Sus scrofa: one gene and its partners. The protein of the gene in region 1 purifies or fractionates together with the protein of each later gene. This does not show direct contact. Links are inferred from orthologs where the notes say so. Each region holds a gene or a part of one and is shown on either strand. Other genes may lie near its edges.

Region 1 (3,510 bases):
AAAAGCTAAGGAGGGTTAAAAAAATATTCATCTAAAGAAGGTAATTTTTGTCTGCCCTTTAACTTTAAAATCCTGTATCACAAAACTACTTAAAAGGAACACTGTTTGTAACAGAAATAATAGAAGTGTAACAGAAACACTGAAAAAAAATTCAACAATAGAAATTCAATCAATATTGGGTGGCTTCCATGTATTTTTAAAGTTTTTTGTCTTTTAAGGGTACATGTAAATTCCTAAGCTAGACAGTGAGTTCCAGCTATAGGTCCCAGCCTACACCACAGCCATAGACATGCATGATCCAATCTGTGTCTGCAACCTATATCATAGCTCAAGGCAACATGCAGATCCCTAACCCACTTAACGAGGGCAGGGATTGAGGGCAGGGATCAAACAGCGTCCTCATGGATACTAGGTGGGTTTGTTATTGTTGACCCAAGACAGCGACTCCCATGAATTTTTTTTTAATTCAATGAACTTTATTATTATATTTATAACTGTCACAACCTAATTTCAGAATGTTTCCATTCCCAAACCCCAGTCTGTCCCTCTCCCAACCCCAACCTGTCTCTGGTAACCATAAGTTTTTTTCAAAGTCTGTAAATCTGTTCTGCAAATAAGTTCATTTGTATCCTTTTTTTCAGAGTCCACACATGATAGCATAAGATGTTTGTCTCTCATGTAAATGCTATTTTATACAGCTAAAAAACAGCAAAGAAGCAATATAAAAGACATGAAAAGTCTTATAGACAAATCTTTCAGGGAAATAACTGGGGAGAAGACACAGTCCTAATATTTACACAGAACAGTCTATGGACATTTGCATAAAGGACAAAAATAAATGAGACCAGTATAGTTTCTTGTACATTTCAAGTGAATTGCTAGTAAAAAAAACAAAATAAACTATTAATGTTATCTGTAGGGAAGGAAAATTAAGTTGCTGGACACAGGAACTAGAAAGACGCTTTAAACCTGTGCAACCTATTTTCTAATTATTCTTCAATTTCAAACAAATGATATATTACTTCTTTAAAAAAGCAAAAATGAGTTATCATCTCTGTTACTCTGGAATACACAGGTTCATTATACTTATATACATATTAATTTAGTTTACTGTTATTCAATTTTAAGAATATCTAAAAAAAAAATTCAAGTTTACTACCCTCACTGCTTTAGTTAAAACTGTCAAAAGAATATTTCATACCTGTAATTTCTGTGGTGTCAAACTCCATGAATGAACTTGTTGCTGTACTGAAGCATGTGAAACACTTTGGCCACTATCCCAGTTCTCAGAACTATTCTGAGGAAAATTTATTTTCAAAAATTCAAAAATATTTGGTTAAATCAATACACCAACAGAGATACTAAATAACTAGGAACTGGAGAATTTACTTAATACACAATCAATTTGAAAGGTATGAGGTCTGAAATTTCATTTATTCTTTAACTTCATGTTCAAAGGTTCTTATCTAAACTATGACTCAAAGACCTAACATGCTGTTCATTATATTCAACAATTTACATAGAAAGAGGTGGTAACAAGTAAGTTAAATCTGTAAAAGCAGGGAAATGGGTAAAATGAATCAAAGAACATAAAATTACACTTCCTTTCTATATTTAAATTATACTGTAATTTTAGGATAGGAAATACTGCTTATAATAGCAAAATATCTGATGACTCCTCTCTCTGATGTACATAGTTTTAAAAGATAGGCACCAATTTCAGGAGACTGAGAGCTTCATTCTAATTGGAATTTTCTGTTTCTCTAAAATGTACATATATACCTTTGTTGGACTAGATGTTCTTTTCTTCTTGGCAGGACTGGACAGGCCATCTATTTGGCTAGAAGTAATCATATGCACTGGCAAGGACTGCTGTGAAATTGGTGTTTGATTGAGGCCTAAAACAGGTTCAGTATTTGGATGATGAGCTTTGTAAGCCTAAGAATGGTAGAAGTAAAACACAAATATGGTTCCAAATATTCTTAATTCATGACTTTAAATTGCAAAACATTATAAGCTGCATACTCTTCAAAAACTATGTGGACATCATGGATTGTAATTGAAAATCAAAATTGAATGAATCATCAATGGAGGAATGTGTACCTGCTTTCAAAAAACCTGGTTTCTAAAAAATTAAATAAATCACTTTATAACAGTCCCTTAGGATTCCCTTTTGAAATCATGAAAATTATACACAAGTATTAAACTGTACTCCATGTTTCTTCCCAAAGTTTTATTTTGATCTATAATCCTTTTGCAATTAAATTTGAAGGATTTTTATCTTTTAGAAAAAGCCAATCCTGCACTTAGTAACTTAGATCTGATCACTACAGATTGGAAAGAACCCTTAAAGCTGGGCACCTACAGAAGATAACCCAACTTCTCACCTGCTGTGCTGTGTTCATGGCACCCTGCCTGGAGGTAAGCTCTGCAGGTATTGGTAGGCTCCATGCCTCCTCAATACTAGGAAGTAATTTAGTTTTATTCTGTAGACTACCTTGTGGAAGGTTACACAACTGAGCCTAGGAAAAATTATGTAAAAAGCAAATTTAACACAGGACTACCAGAGTAAGAGCAAGTCCACTAAAACTTCCTCAATGCTATAGGTATTTATTTCTTAAAGAAAACAAACTGTAAATGTGTGGTTTCAGATATTTGCTATATAAAGAGGGTGACTAGAATATATTCGAGAGAATGAGAACAAAGCTAAATTCTCTATTTCAGAATTCACATGGATACTGTCTCATGACATTTCAAGCATGAATGAAAACCAGTGTTCTTTTCTCTAAAATGCTGTAACTTAAAAATGTAAATAGCAGTCAAAATAATGCAAACTAAGATGCATCATCAAAGTAAAAATTCAAAAGAACACTTTAAATACAGACTATCTTAAAGTGAAAAGTAAAACACTACTAAAGTATTAAAAATTATGAAAAAAGTTGCTGACATAAAAACAAAAAGACACTTTTCAGCCACCCTCCCTGTGCCAGTTAACATATGGAAATATCTTTTAAGATAGGCTATTTCAAAAAATTACCTGTAAAAACTTAATTCTTCCTGTGAGCACAGAGGTATTACTACAACTTTTGCTTCTAGTTGCATTTAAATAGCATTTAATGGCATCCTGAGGTTGATTGCAGGATTCATAAAGAGTGCCTAGGTCCATCCAGGCTGCTGCATGCCCATGGTCCAACTGTACGGCACATATATAGGCCTGTAATGCATCCATAGGCTGATTTTGCTGCTGATAGAGCACACTGGAAAGAGAAATAAAGTTGTCTAAAACTGACTAGTGAAATATTAATACAAAGAACATTAGATGTATCTCAATAAACTTGTGAATCAATAAAACAGTATCATAGTCCTTACCCTATTGAACACCAAGTATCTGCACTTGCTTCTGATTTATCAATAGATTGCCTGTAAGATATAAAGGCATCCTGAACTTTCCCAATACTTGAGTAGCACCTGAAAGAGGATGGAAATATATAAACATATACAGACACATGT
Region 2 (4,228 bases), on another chromosome or scaffold:
GCAGAAGCCGCAGGTGGGGAGCGCCGTCAGCTAATGCAAACCTGCAGCGGGGACGAGGCCAGGAAACAGACCAACCTTCAGAAGAGTGTCCAGGACAGAGACTACAAAAACATCGGACCGCCTAACGGAGCCCATGGCAGGTACGGTCCCAACCTGAGGTTCCGGCCACCCTGACTGCACACTAACCCTGCAGGTACCGCGCTGCCCTCTGCCCTTCAGTGAAAGTGGCCAGAGACCCCGCCCTCAAGGGTGCTTCCTAGTTTGTCACCCAGAAGTCTGTAGAAATGCAGCACAGTCCAGGCAGCCAAAAGGCGGCTCCCTTCAAAGAGTCCCTGATACATTAAAGAAGAAACCCAATGGACCAAAGGCGTCTTGTCAGGAAACCAACACGCCAAATTACAGGAGACTGGGCTGCCGGGTGCAGAAGTTTGGAAACTCAGCCAAATCCTTAAATACATCCCAAGGGACATGAGAGCAGGAAGAGCCACATCTGAAAACACAGAAGCGGGGCCTGTGGTCCACACCTCCTGGGGAGGGGCTGCCAGGTCCCGGGTGCAGGCTGCAGACACAAGGCGGCTTCCAAAACACTAAGAGCCGAAAGCATGGCCAGAAAGCACAAACCAGAGCCGGCCCTGCCCACTGGGGTCCCCATGGTCCAGTCCAGCCCTCCACAGAAGCAGCCTAAAGTACGCAGATGCTATGCAAGCAAGACCCACTGCAGAGAAGGGGGAAAGAGGCAGCTCAATTAGGTTTCAGCATGAAAACGGGAACCACTCAAAAGCTGCACAGTACAACTGGCTTCCTCTGTCACAAGAATGGATTCTGCCACTGGGATACTTGGCACAGAAACACACCAGGTGATTCTGAAACAAGGGCAAGCATTATTCCAGAGCCGCCCAGACATCCCGCAAGTCCCACTGGCCAGCCACCTCCCGGAAGCTGGCACCACTGTTAACCTGCTGGGTTCACAAGCTGTACATTCTAGCTTGGCGCCTCAAACTGGAAGCTTGCACAGGTTTCTCGTCACACTGAGGCGGAGCAGGAGCCATCACCAAGAGCAAGTCCCAAACTCTCCCTCCAAGAAGATGGGAGAGAAAGGTCAACGCAACCCAGCTGTGCAGAGTGGCCAGAGCTGTGCGGAGGGGAAACAGCTGGTCACCTGAGCAAGGCTCCCTGCGCAGGGATGGAGCCTGCAGCACCCAAAGCTCAAGTACTGGGCTGGGGGAGGGCAAGGAAGGGGCAGGTCAGCAGATGTGTGGGGGCAAAGTGCTGGCACAGAGCTGGGGCTCAGGAAGCACTCGCCGCTTGTGACTGTCGTTAGTGCAAGCAGGCCGTGCCAATTAGCCCGGCACTGCCTGCCCTTTGCTGGGCTGGACAAGTGGGCCGAAGAGTCCTCTGCACAGAACTGAGCATCGGAGGCAATGAGACCAAGGCCAAGAGCTGCGAGAAGGCCCCCCCTCCCCCGAGCTAAACACGTGCAGGAACAGAAGAGGCTCTGTCTGGGGTGCGAAAGGGAGCACAGAGGCTTGAGACCCACCAGGAGGTGGGGCGAACTGGCTGCCTTCAGGTGAGGAGCGGGGGATCCAATAGGGGGACAGAAAAAGTGCCCCAGCCCTGCCCCACTCCTCAGCTAGCAACACCTTAACGTACAGAAATCAACCTTTAGAAATACGATTTCTGGACACCTTGTTTGGAGCCAGCCTCCCCAGCACCTGCGACTTGCTCCTTCTTGGCTCCCAGGTGAGTCTGACCACCTAAGGCTGAGCCTCCCAAACTTCAGAGTGCTCGCCTGGACTGCCTCGAAATGCAGATGCCTGGGCGCCACCCCAGAGACTGGGGCCAAGGTGTGGCGAGACAGGAGGTAACTGGCCCGCACAGAGTGAGGAGACTCGCTGCTCACCACCCCACCTGAAATCTCAGACATACCTGGGGTCCAGCTTACCCAGCTGCCTCTACCAACCGGGCCAACCTCAGGGGAGAGTGTCTAACTCAGTACTTGCCAGACGGGGGCTAAGGGACCTGAGCGGGTAGAAGCGGGACCAGAAGGCACCAGGAATGATCTTCCACATCCCCCAAAGTGGCCCTCGCGAGCCAGACTGGAAGGGGTCCGAGGCTCCACCGCAGGGCGTGGTGGGCCTTCCCTTCGTGACGGCAGCCCCGCAGCCCCGGAACCCCGAACTCTCAGGGAGCAATGGGGCCTGGGGCTGCCTCGGGCTGGGAGTACAGAGCGGGCTGAGGTGGGGGCGTCCCTGCAGCAGAGGAAGGCAGACAGCGCGCCACATCCAGGCACTGGATGGCTCTGGGGTCTGGGGTGCTTCTCTGGAGGCAAAGGGGTCATGCACGCCGGCTCCAGAAGGAAGTCGCAGTCCCGGGGCTGGGGGCTCGTCACCTGACCGCTGGGGGCGGGAGAAGCTGGGGGTCCCAGGGGCTCCGCGGCGGTCCGTGCGAGTCCGTTTGCGGAGGGGGCTGGGCGCTCGGCGGGGAAAAGGGCAGCCAAGCTCGCGCCCCGGAGGCGAAGCGGCGGGCGCGGGGCGTCTGCGCCGGGAGGCCCGGCGGGGCTGAACCCGGGCCGGGGCCGGGCCCGCCAGAACACGTGCCGCGACGGACGGCGCGGGGTGCGCCGGCGTCGACCCCCAGCCCGCGTCCCCCCGAAGCGTGTCCGCCGGCCGGGCGGCCCCAGCTTACCTGCCGGGCGGCGAGGGGCTGAGGACGGGCGCTCCGGGCGTCGCGTCTGCCGCCGCCTGGGCGGGAGCCGGGCCGAGCTCGACTAGGCGGCGCGGCGAGCGGCAATGCGCGTGCGCGGGGGCGGGGCGAGAGGGCGGGGCAAACGCACAAAGCCGGCCTCTCGGAGGGGAGCTACGGGGAGCGGCGAGGAGCAAAACGCCTCGGCTCGGCTCAACGCCTTAAAGGGACAGTGTGCTCCTGCTTAAAGGCGTTAACCCGGGAGGTGACAGGTTCCGGCGGTCCTTCTGCGGCGGCGCCCCAGGGAGGAGTGGAGTTCCGCCGCCGTGGAATTCAAGCGGCGGCGGGGCCCCAACCTTTCTTCTGACTTGGGGCATCTGCGGGGTCGCCGCCCTCCATCGTCGCGCACACTAGAGGGCGGCGCTCTGGGCAGAGCCCTGGGCTGAGCGTCTTCATCAATGTTTGGGACGTCCCGGTACAGAGGCCCTCACCTTCCAACTGTGAAGCGAGGAATCTGAGCTCCGAAGTGTTCAGAATGCCCTCTCCCGGGGCTGCGTCCTCTGCACTCTGCCCATCAACTCCCGCGCAGGGCCGGCGGAGGGGTCTGCCCGCCTCTCGCCTCTCGGTGCAGGGAGCCCACCGGGCGCACCTGCCCTCTCCTGAGCCCCCAACGCCGAGGTACGAATAGTCACCGCGTGCAGGCTGCTCTGCTGCCTGCAGGGTGATGGCCCAGACAGGTATTATAACTTCCATCTGCAAGTGGGGAGGGGAGGCCCAGAGAGGGACGGCTCAGGGGCACAAGGAGATCCTGGAGCCTGGGTTCTCACCCCAAATCCTGCACATTCTCATCTCACTGCCCCACTTCTGCTACCCACGTGGGTCTTAGAGTCGTGGAGGTGGTCGTGGGCTAGGCAGCCTCACGGCCCCAACCCAGGCCCGTGGGTAGAGTAACACAGTTTATTTCCCAATTAAAAATGGGAACACTTAGGAGTTCCCTGGTGGCCTAGCGGTTAGGGCCTCAGCGTTGTCACTGCTGTGGCGAGGGTTGGATCCCTGCCCTGAGAACTTTTGCATGCCATGGCTCGGCCAAATTAAAAAGGGGGGGGGGCGCCGAACATGACACAGGAACCTGTGCAAACAAGGACAGAGCATTTGAAGTGGAAAGCCTCAGGGAATACTAGTGTGGTTGTCACAGATACAGGAGACAAGGCTGGCAGCTGGCCCAAGATCCCTTCCAAGGAGAACGCAGGGGCCGCAAAATCCCTGTCTGGCCCTGCAGGACTGGGAGTGGATCTCTGTGCCCAGGAGGCCTCATCGCCTTGGGTCAGGTGTCCTGGAGCAGGAGACGGTGACCACCAAAGGTGACCAAGCCAGCTCAGGATGAAGAAGAGTATCTGCATCCACCTGCTGCCTGGCCCCAAGCACAGCCCGTTTCATCTCTGTTGATACACCCCATCACCGCTCCCATAGTTCTCACAGGCAGCCATCCTCTTCTCACCACGCCTACCCCAGTCCGGCCTCCCTGCGGGCCTTTTCCAAACCTCTC
Region 3 (4,136 bases), on another chromosome or scaffold:
GTCCCTCTCCAGTGAACCAAGTCACTGCAATCAGATTCTTAATCCACTGCACCAAGCAGGAACTCCTCCTTCGGAGAATTTAAAACAGAATTGGGAGTTCCTGTCGTGGCACAGCAGCAACAAATCCTACTAGGAACCATGAGGTTGCAGGTTCGATCCCTGGCCTTGCTCAGTGGGTTAAGGATCCAGTGTTGCCGTGAGCTGTGGTGTAGGTCGCAGATGTGGCCGGATCACGTGTTGCTGTGGTGTAGGCCAGGGGCTGCAGCTCCAATTGGACCGCTAGCCTGGAAACCTCCATTTGCCACACTTGAGGCCCTAAAAATAAAATAATAATAATTTAAAAAAATTTAAAACAGATTTGAGCTGACTTATGTTTTGAAAGAGAGACGGCTTGGATCAGGGTGTCACATTAAAGACAGAGACTAGTAGCTGAATTTGGAAATGTGGAGGCAGACCTAACAAGACTTGCTGCTGGTTTGAATGTTGACATAAAAGAAAGAGAAATCGGGAGTTCCCGTCGTGGCGCAGTGGTTAACAAATCCGACTAGGAACCATGAGGTTGCGGGTTCAATCCCTGCCCTTGCTCAGCGGGTTAACGATCCGGCGTTGCCGTGAGCTGTGGTGTAGGTTGCAGGCGCGGCTCGGATCCCGCGTTGCTGTGGCTCTGGCATAGGCTGGCGGCTACAGCTCCCATTAGACCCCTAGCCTGGGACCCTCCATATGCCGCGGGAGCGGCCCAAGAAATAACAACAATAACAACAACAACAACAACAAAAAAAGACAAAAGACAAAAAAAAAAAAAAAAAAAGAAAGAAAGAGAAATCAAGAATGGCTCTGAGAGGAGTTCCCGTCTTGGCTCAGAGGTTAACGAACCTGACTAGTATCCATGAGGATTCGGGTTCGATCCCTGGCCCCACTCAGTGGGCTAAGGATCCGGTGTTGCCATGAGCCGTGGTGTAGGTCCCAGATGTGGCTTAGATCTCATGTTGCTGTGGCTGTGGTGTAGGCCAGCAGCTATAGCTCTGATTTGACCCCTAGCCTGGGAACCTCCATATGCCGCAGATGCAGCCCTAAACACACACACACACAAGAGAGAGAGAGAGAATGGCTCTGACGGTAAACTCTAGGCATGGGAAGCTAGGTCAGATTAGGAGGTGTACGCAGTAGCATAGGGATGTGGAGCTAGATAATGACCAAGAAGACTCGGACTTCTGGGATGGGGGTGGGGGGGAAATGAGACCAAAGGAATGGGAAATATGATAGAATTACCTGTGATAATCTTTTAAAAGAAAATTGGGTACCACCTAGACTGGAAGGATGGCAACCACTGAGTGCACGCTCTCCCCTGAAGCTGTGATTTGTGTAGCTACCAAGGAACCAAGCAGAGACCTTTTTTTTTTTTTTTTTTTTGACCACACCCATGGAATGTGGAAGTTCCCAGGCCAAGGTTCGAACCTGTGCCAAAGCAGTGACAATGCTGGGTCCTTTGCCACTAAGCCATCAGAGAACGCCTCAAAGACCTCTTTCAGGGAGTCCCTTTCGGAGTAAGTGGGAACAGAGGCCCCCCCGCGCCCCCCATTCTCCACTCTTGTCTGTACCTGGGGTGCGCCTCCGGTCAATCAGGGAGTCCTTTGGTGTCATTGGCTCATCATCAAAATCAAATTCTGTGGGCATGTGCGGCCTGGGACAGGTGGAGAGAGAGAGGAGGGTGAGGGAGATCCTTCCAAACCTCCACTGGTGCTTCTCCCGGGCCTTCGGGCTCTTCCCCTCCCTCTAACTTCCCATGCTCCTGGGTCCCACCTCCCTCCCTATTTCCTCCTGGCATCAAGGAAGCAATCCTCACTTTTCCTCTTCCTCCTCTTTGGCCTCGGGTTCCTCATCAGATCTTTCCTCTTCACTCTGGGCCTCAGGCGTAGGTGGTCGGCGGGGCAGGATCTCTGCCTGAAGCTCCAGGGTACCGTGGGCAGCCAGCAGTTCATAGAGCCGTTGGATTTCGGAGGGAGGTGGCATCCAGGGCTGCCCATCCTCAGGCAGCTCCACCTCTTCATCGCTGCAGGGCACGCACCAGTCCTCGGAGTCTCCCTGGGCGGGCTCTTCCCCCTCAGTGCTGGGGGCTTCTCCCTGCACTTCCTCGGCCCTGGACCCCTCATGTTCGGCCTCCTCCCGGCCTCCTTCCCCCTCTTCCTCGGCTTTATCGGCCGAAGCAGAGGGGCCTCCGGTGTCCTCCACGGCCAGAGCCTGGAGGCCGGAGGTCACTTCCCCTTCTTCAGACAGAGGCGCCGCCGCGGTGGCTGCCGTGTCTCCATGACCCCGGACAAGGGACATAAGCCACTAGGGAAGGGGCCCAGCGATGCCAGGAGATGCAGGAGTACCAAGCCGGGGATTCCCCCCGCGCCCCCTCCCTCCCTCCACTCCCTCCCAAAAAAAGGGATCACCCCGGGGTTCGGGGACTGTTTCGCTAACCAATCAGGCTCCAACAGCGGTCTCGCGACCAGACCACCGGTTCCCAGGAGGGGGCGCTCAGTCCCCTCCAAGGACCCCGCCCCCCACAGATCGAGATCCGGTACTCCGAGGTTTCCAGCGAGCGGCAGAAACCACTTTCCGGGCCGGAGACGGGCGGACCCGCTCTTCTCGCCTCCGCACTACGCCGCTCTACACCTGGATGCGGCGTCCTCTCCCCACACCTCGAAGGTCCCCCACCTCAGCGGCCGTACGCACCTGGAGCTAAGACCCGCCTCCCGGGCCGCGCAGGGTCAAAGTACGCAGGCGCACAGATACGGCGCGGGAGGCTCCGCTTTAGTCAAAGCTACTTGGGAGAGGAAAGCAAGGGGAGGCTTGCACATGCGCAGGTAGGCGCTCGGGAACGATAGGCTTCGGCCCACAGTAAAGATGGCCACGGGGGTGGCGCATGCGCAAATCACCTAGTAGGTTGTGCCCCAAAGGAGGCTGTACCTCCGGCCCCGCGGCGCAGGCACGTAAGGACCAACTGAGGCTGGAGGCGAGTATCATGCAGTCTCCGTTTATTGGTGTTTCAGACTCATGCAGCATCCGGCATACAAAAAGGGAGAATCAGTTTGATGTATCCTTTTTTTTTTTTTTTTTAAAGACTTTTAGGTTTTTTCCCTACGCTTTTTTTTATATTAAAAAAAACACAAAAAAACCAAAACCAAACCAACTCCGAACCGCGTTGTGGCTCAGACCCTGCCTCCCCAGTGAACTGTCGCGTGCAACAAACCTCTCTCGTCCTCTTAGAAAATAATCGCAGCTCTCTCCGCCCCTTCTTTGCTCCCTGCAGCTGGGAGCTTTGGTCCAATTTTTTCTGTTCTTACAGTTACAAAGCACGTGAATGACTCCAGCCGCGACGCCTTTAACAAACCGACTGGGTTAAAAAGCCCAGGCGGGGCAGGTCAGCTCGGGCCGACCGGGGAGGGTTCGAGAGCCTCGCCCCTCCCTTCTACCAGGTGCTTGTTCGGAACAGTACCCGCCACCCCTGCACAAATCTACAAACGAGGCCCGGCTTGCCAGCTCTGCGACCCCGAGGCACCCCGGGGGTGTCTGGGCCTGGGTAGTCCCTGCAGAGAACAGTCGCGAGCCCGGGCTAGGGAGCCCTCTCCAGACACCGCTCCCCTCCCCCAGCCTGATCTAAGTGCTGGAGTTTTTGCAGAATAAACGGTGGAGGAGGGTGGAGGAGAGGATGCAGAGGGGAGATGAGGAGGCAGGAAGAGGAAGGGGGTGGAGGGTGTGGAGAGGGAAGAGGAGATGAATGAGGAAGGGAAGGAAGAGAGGAGGGGGGGGAGGGGGGGATGCTGAGACAATAAAAAGTTGGGAAATGGAGATCCGGGATGAGGTGCAGGGGACTCGGGAGGGTGTAGTGCAGGAAGGCCGCAAGAGATGCAGGAAGGCTGAGAGCAAAGAGAGTCTGGGAGATGGTCAGGGAGGTTTCCAGAAGTGCAAGGAGGTTTCCAGAAGTGCAGGGAGGTTTCCAGAAGTGCAGGGGTAGGGAAGCCAAGAGGCTGAAGGGGAGGCAGGCAAAAGTGCAGGGAGGTTGGACACAGAGCAGGGAACAGGGAGGCCTACGGTTGGCAGAGGAGCCTGGCAGGATGCAGGAGCAGGAAAGAAGCTGTAAACAAGGCTGC
Region 4 (4,275 bases), on another chromosome or scaffold:
AAGAGCTGCCTTCACCCGGTGGCCTCCCATCCAGGCGGCACCTAAGCAAACTCTGGCAAGAGCTGCGCTGAAACGTCACGCTGTGTGATAAACAGTAGAGTTAAATTCACTACCAACCTTTACGACAGGGAGATCGAAGACTTCCCGCGCTTCCCCCACTTCGGGATTGTCCCCGTCTTCCGAGATGATGTGCGAGGCTAGCGCATTGTAGGACACTTCCTTGGCTTTCCCGGCTTTCAAAAGCTGAATGACCTTGGAAAAAACCACATGAATTAAAATGGAAAACACCCCATTTCATTCTCAACTTATACAAATTACCATGAACAACAAAGTTTCTAATAAACACACACCACGTTTTCCACGTGGGATTAAGACTCTTTCACTGAGTCACATGCAATGAAACACGTGGGGACAATAAAAAGCAGCAAATCTTGATGCGCTGACTGGTCCATGTGGAAGCGACGGCGAACCACGTACCAGCCAGTCCCCGAGGACGGACGAGGTGAACACAGCAGAGACCCGGCTAGGACACAACCCATCCAGGTCTACCCTCAAGGCTTGGGGATGCATGGTTTCCAGTAAGTGGAAAAGTTTCTGCAGAGGAGCTACAGGCGTGGTGTCCTTGTGAATTCAGAGGCATCACCAGGCAAAAATACGCACGCGGTGTGGCATGAGGAGCATTCAACACAATGGGCAGGTGAAGACGATGATGAGACCCTCGATGGCAGTGTCACAGGCGCTACGCAAAACCCGCTGGGTTTTACCCCAAAATACAGAGCTGTCTTCTGGAGGCACAGAAAGGTGTGAAGCAGGGAAGCGGCCTGATCAGATCTTACAGGAAGATCCCTGACAGTGTAAGAAGAACACATGGGGTTGGCTGCAGGTCTGGAGCCAGGACGCCTGTTAAGAAACAGCTATGAACATTCAGGCGAAAGAGGCAGGTAACTAAGGGAAAAGCAGGTCATTAGGGGCAAGAAGCGATGTGAGAGCACCAGCAAGACTAGGTGCCTCCAAGGGGCCTGTGTCGGAGAAACACTGCGGGGATGAGGACTGTGTGTTTGTTTAGGGCACGTCCCTCTTCGGTGCCACTGTGAGACCTAGAAAGACACCCAGCACGTCTGAGGATGAGACCTGGGCCCCATCTGAGACGGGGCCAAGGCCCAGAGAGCGAATGAGCCCTCAAGCACCGAGCACAGGGTGGGGAGTGAAACCAACACACGTGAATGCTCTGCATCCACGTTTCGAGGATTCAGAGAATCAAATACTCTGGCTGTAAAGTTTTTTTTTTTTTTTTAGAAAATACTTTGTTTTGGATCAAAGTGGTTTGCCAAGGACACTTTAAAAGCCCTTAGACTTGATTAACAGTTGAGTGAACATGACTCCTGTTCAGCTTGGTCCAGGTTTTAAGTAACATTTGGTTCAGGTCCCTCTCAACAGCCAAAGTCCTAAAATGAGGTAGGAAGCAGGGAGGAGAAGAGTGGAGAGTGAAGAAAGGGAAATCCGTAGTCAGAAGGAAGAAGCCGTCACTCTGAGCTCAGCACCTGTTCACTATTAAATCCCAAGCCTCTTGACGCTTACCGTAGAAGAAAGGGTGCACCCTGGGAGTCATCCAAGGGCATCTGGTTCCTAAAATACCACCACAGACACCTCCAGAAGGCCCAAACCAATCGGCCTTTCACAATTCCTTCCATGCCACCCAAGTCTGTTAAGTATCTGTCTCCACTCCTGAGGAGACATCAAGACAGTACAGCCGTCTTTTCCTACACATGAGCTTTAGGAAAGCGAGTAGCCTGAGATTCAGCTGAATATTCAATAAAGGTAGGTTCCCACCATGGAAAATTAACATGCTGACGTTCCAACAGATGTATGACTTACAAAAAACTTAGGAAAGGCGACAATATCCTTTGGCGTGAGGTCACACAAGAAAATGTTTCGTGTGACCGTATTAACAGCGCATTACCCACACTTACTGTATATTTAGGAAAACCAAGAAACACGAAGTCGCTGGTAGTAAACTTCAAGGCCACACACTAGTTGCAGACGTACGACCTCAGGTGGCTGCCACACCAGGGGCAACTAACTGCCCCTCCGCAGCCAGGAACCCAGGCCCCTACTCAGCACCTCCTGCCAAAGTTCCCGTAGCCAACCCGTCCCCGCGGGACCCACTGTTGGCGGGGCCCAGGCAGCTGGAGCTGGCAGCAGGTAGGGTGTCCCTGTCTGGATTCCTCCCCACAAAGGGGCAGAGTGGGAAGCGGACAAGGCAGCTCCGCGACAGCACCCCGGTCCCCCACCACGCGGGGACCGTGACAACCGACTCTTAGCGCAGACCCCCACCCACGTGCCCTTCCCCCCCCCATCTGGGCACACCCTCCTCTTCAAGTTTCCACTCCCAGGACCTCTCCTTTCCCCGCCCGCGGGTCCCGCAGACCCCCTTCCCTCCGGCCCCCACCGCCGGCCTGCTGGGCGCCAGGCGGCCCGGCCTCCGCGCAGCCAGGCCGGCGGGCTTGGGGCAAGAGGTCCCGGACGTTCAACGTGCAGGCGCGCGCCCGGGGCGGGAGCAGAGCCGGGGACGCGGAGGACGGTGCGGGGGCGGTGTGGTACCTGCGGGTCGATGTCGCCCACCGCGTAGTACTTGACCTCCCGGAACATCTCCTCGGGAACTTTGGGCGCCTGGTCCGACATGGTCGCGGCGGCCCGAAGGCTCCGCGGCGGCTCCTGCCCCGCCCGGCCAGCCCCGCGGGGCCCGCTCCCCAACGGCGCGGCCCCGGCCCGGTCCTGCAAGTCGGGCCCGCTCCCCCGCCCTCTGCGCCCCCGCCCGCGCCGGGCCGCCCGAGCGCGGGAGCCGCGCGCGCCCTGCGGGCCGCACCATCCCGCCCGACGCCGAGGGGGAGCGCCCAAGTTAGGCGCTCGGCCCGCCCCACCCGGTGTCCGTCTTGCGGCCCGCGGCACCGGGGACACGGGTACCGAACGGCCCACTCCAGAGCCAGGGGGCCGTGGCCGCCGCCGTCCCCACAGCAGGAAGCCCCGTGCTCGCGGGGAAACGCGCCCCCCCGTCAAGGCTGGAGTGGGCCGGTCCCGGGAAAGAAGGGTACGGGCGGCCCTCCCGTCGACACGCGCGGCCGCAAGGGCGGCGCATGCGCACCGCGGAGGGGCGGGCCGGCGACGGCAACCACGGAGGGAACGGGTCCGGCTTCGGGGTCTGGGGCGCACAGAGACGGAGCGTCGCCGGCTGCTGCCTGGCAGGACCCGAGGTAACGCCTAAGGCCCAGGAAAGGGTCCTGAGTCTTGGCTGGAGGATGAGGGCGCTAGGCCGCGTAACCAGCTCCCCGGGCGCGCGCTCGCGGCCAGTGGCTTCTCGCCGTCGCCCGAACCTGCTCCTCCCGGGACCCGGACCGTCAAAAAAACGAGCCCCGCGCCCCTCCCTCCGGCTCTGCTGACGACAGACGGTCATGACGTCTTCGCGCGCTCTGACGTCATCCGGTGGCGCCTGGAGACCGGCGCTCCGGGCGCACCTGCTCTCCCAGCAGCGCTCCGGGCGCACCTGCGCGGGCACGGGATGGGGCGGCGCTGCGGCTGCGGGACGCCAGGCTCCCCGGATCCACCGAGGCCCAGAGGCCCTGAGGCGCCTGAGCGTGAAAATGCACGTGAATCAGCCCCACAGTTTCCTCCCCCAAGTGGTTCAAACCATTACCCACTGCTGCCGCTACCTTCCAAGCGGTAAAGCCCTTTTATTTATTTATTTTTTATTTTATTTTTTGTCTTTTTGCTATTTCTTGGGCCGCTTCCACGGCATATGGAGGTTCCCAGGCTAGGGGTCGAATTGGAGCTGTAGCCACCAGCAACGCAGGATCCGAGCCGCGTCTGCAACCTACACCACAGGTCACGGCAACGCCGGATCGTTAACTCACTGAGCAAGGGCAGGGACCGAACCCGCAACCTCATGGTTCCTAGTCGGATTCGTTAACCACTGCGCCACGACGGGAACTCCAAGCCCTTTTAAATAAACGGTAGTGTAATTGGTTAGGAGAGAAACCTTTCCAAGGTACTGTGGCACCTTAATACAACCCTAACTCATCTCAGAGGCCTTTGTTGTATCACTTTAAGTCTGCGATAAGGGAGACGTTCTGAACGTGAAAGTTGACGTGGTCGGCTCATTGATCGGTACAATGTACACTGACTTTTTAAAAACGGTGAATAGGGTTTTGATTGTACACTTGTGTGTAATAAATGATTTTGTATGAGTAGCAAGTAAGGATACGATAAGCCTTTTAAATA

What was found. The genes of interacting proteins can lie anywhere in the genome.
Region 2: the proteins of lysine-specific demethylase 6A-like (region 1) and WDR5 purify together in Homo sapiens (affinity purification with mass spectrometry; 7 studies listed by BioGRID and IntAct, counting the BioPlex papers as one, with this or other methods). This does not show direct contact. The link is inferred for Sus scrofa from reciprocal best matches to the Homo sapiens genes KDM6A and WDR5.
Region 3: the proteins of lysine-specific demethylase 6A-like (region 1) and PAGR1 purify together in Homo sapiens (affinity purification with mass spectrometry; 5 studies listed by BioGRID and IntAct, with this or other methods). This does not show direct contact. The link is inferred for Sus scrofa from reciprocal best matches to the Homo sapiens genes KDM6A and PAGR1.
Region 4: the proteins of lysine-specific demethylase 6A-like (region 1) and PAXIP1 purify together in Homo sapiens (affinity purification with mass spectrometry; 6 studies listed by BioGRID and IntAct, with this or other methods). This does not show direct contact. The link is inferred for Sus scrofa from reciprocal best matches to the Homo sapiens genes KDM6A and PAXIP1.

Annotation. Positions count from the first base shown.
Region 1 is NC_010462.3:8,955,463-8,958,972, forward strand, and holds part of lysine-specific demethylase 6A-like, read right to left. Parts: intron 3,469-3,510; coding exon 3,370-3,468; intron 3,258-3,369; coding exon 3,038-3,257; intron 2,523-3,037; coding exon 2,388-2,522; intron 1,939-2,387; coding exon 1,783-1,938; intron 1,298-1,782; coding exon 1,202-1,297; intron 1-1,201. UniProt on the Homo sapiens protein: Histone demethylase that specifically demethylates 'Lys-27' of histone H3, thereby playing a central role in histone code. Demethylates trimethylated and dimethylated but not monomethylated H3 'Lys-27'.
Region 2 is NC_010443.5:273,558,852-273,563,079, reverse strand, and holds the start of WDR5 (WD repeat-containing protein 5), read right to left. Parts: upstream 2,802-4,228; 5' UTR 2,686-2,801; intron 42-2,685; 5' UTR 1-41.
Region 3 is NC_010445.4:18,051,344-18,055,479, reverse strand, and holds the start of PAGR1 (PAXIP1-associated glutamate-rich protein 1), read right to left. Parts: upstream 2,802-4,136; 5' UTR 2,326-2,801; coding exon 1,844-2,325; intron 1,682-1,843; coding exon 1,599-1,681; intron 1-1,598. UniProt on the Homo sapiens protein: Its association with the histone methyltransferase MLL2/MLL3 complex is suggesting a role in epigenetic transcriptional activation. However, in association with PAXIP1/PTIP is proposed to function at least in part independently of the MLL2/MLL3 complex.
Region 4 is NC_010460.4:3,065,379-3,069,653, reverse strand, and holds the start of PAXIP1 (PAX-interacting protein 1), read right to left. Parts: upstream 2,802-4,275; 5' UTR 2,683-2,801; coding exon 2,602-2,682; intron 253-2,601; coding exon 118-252; intron 1-117.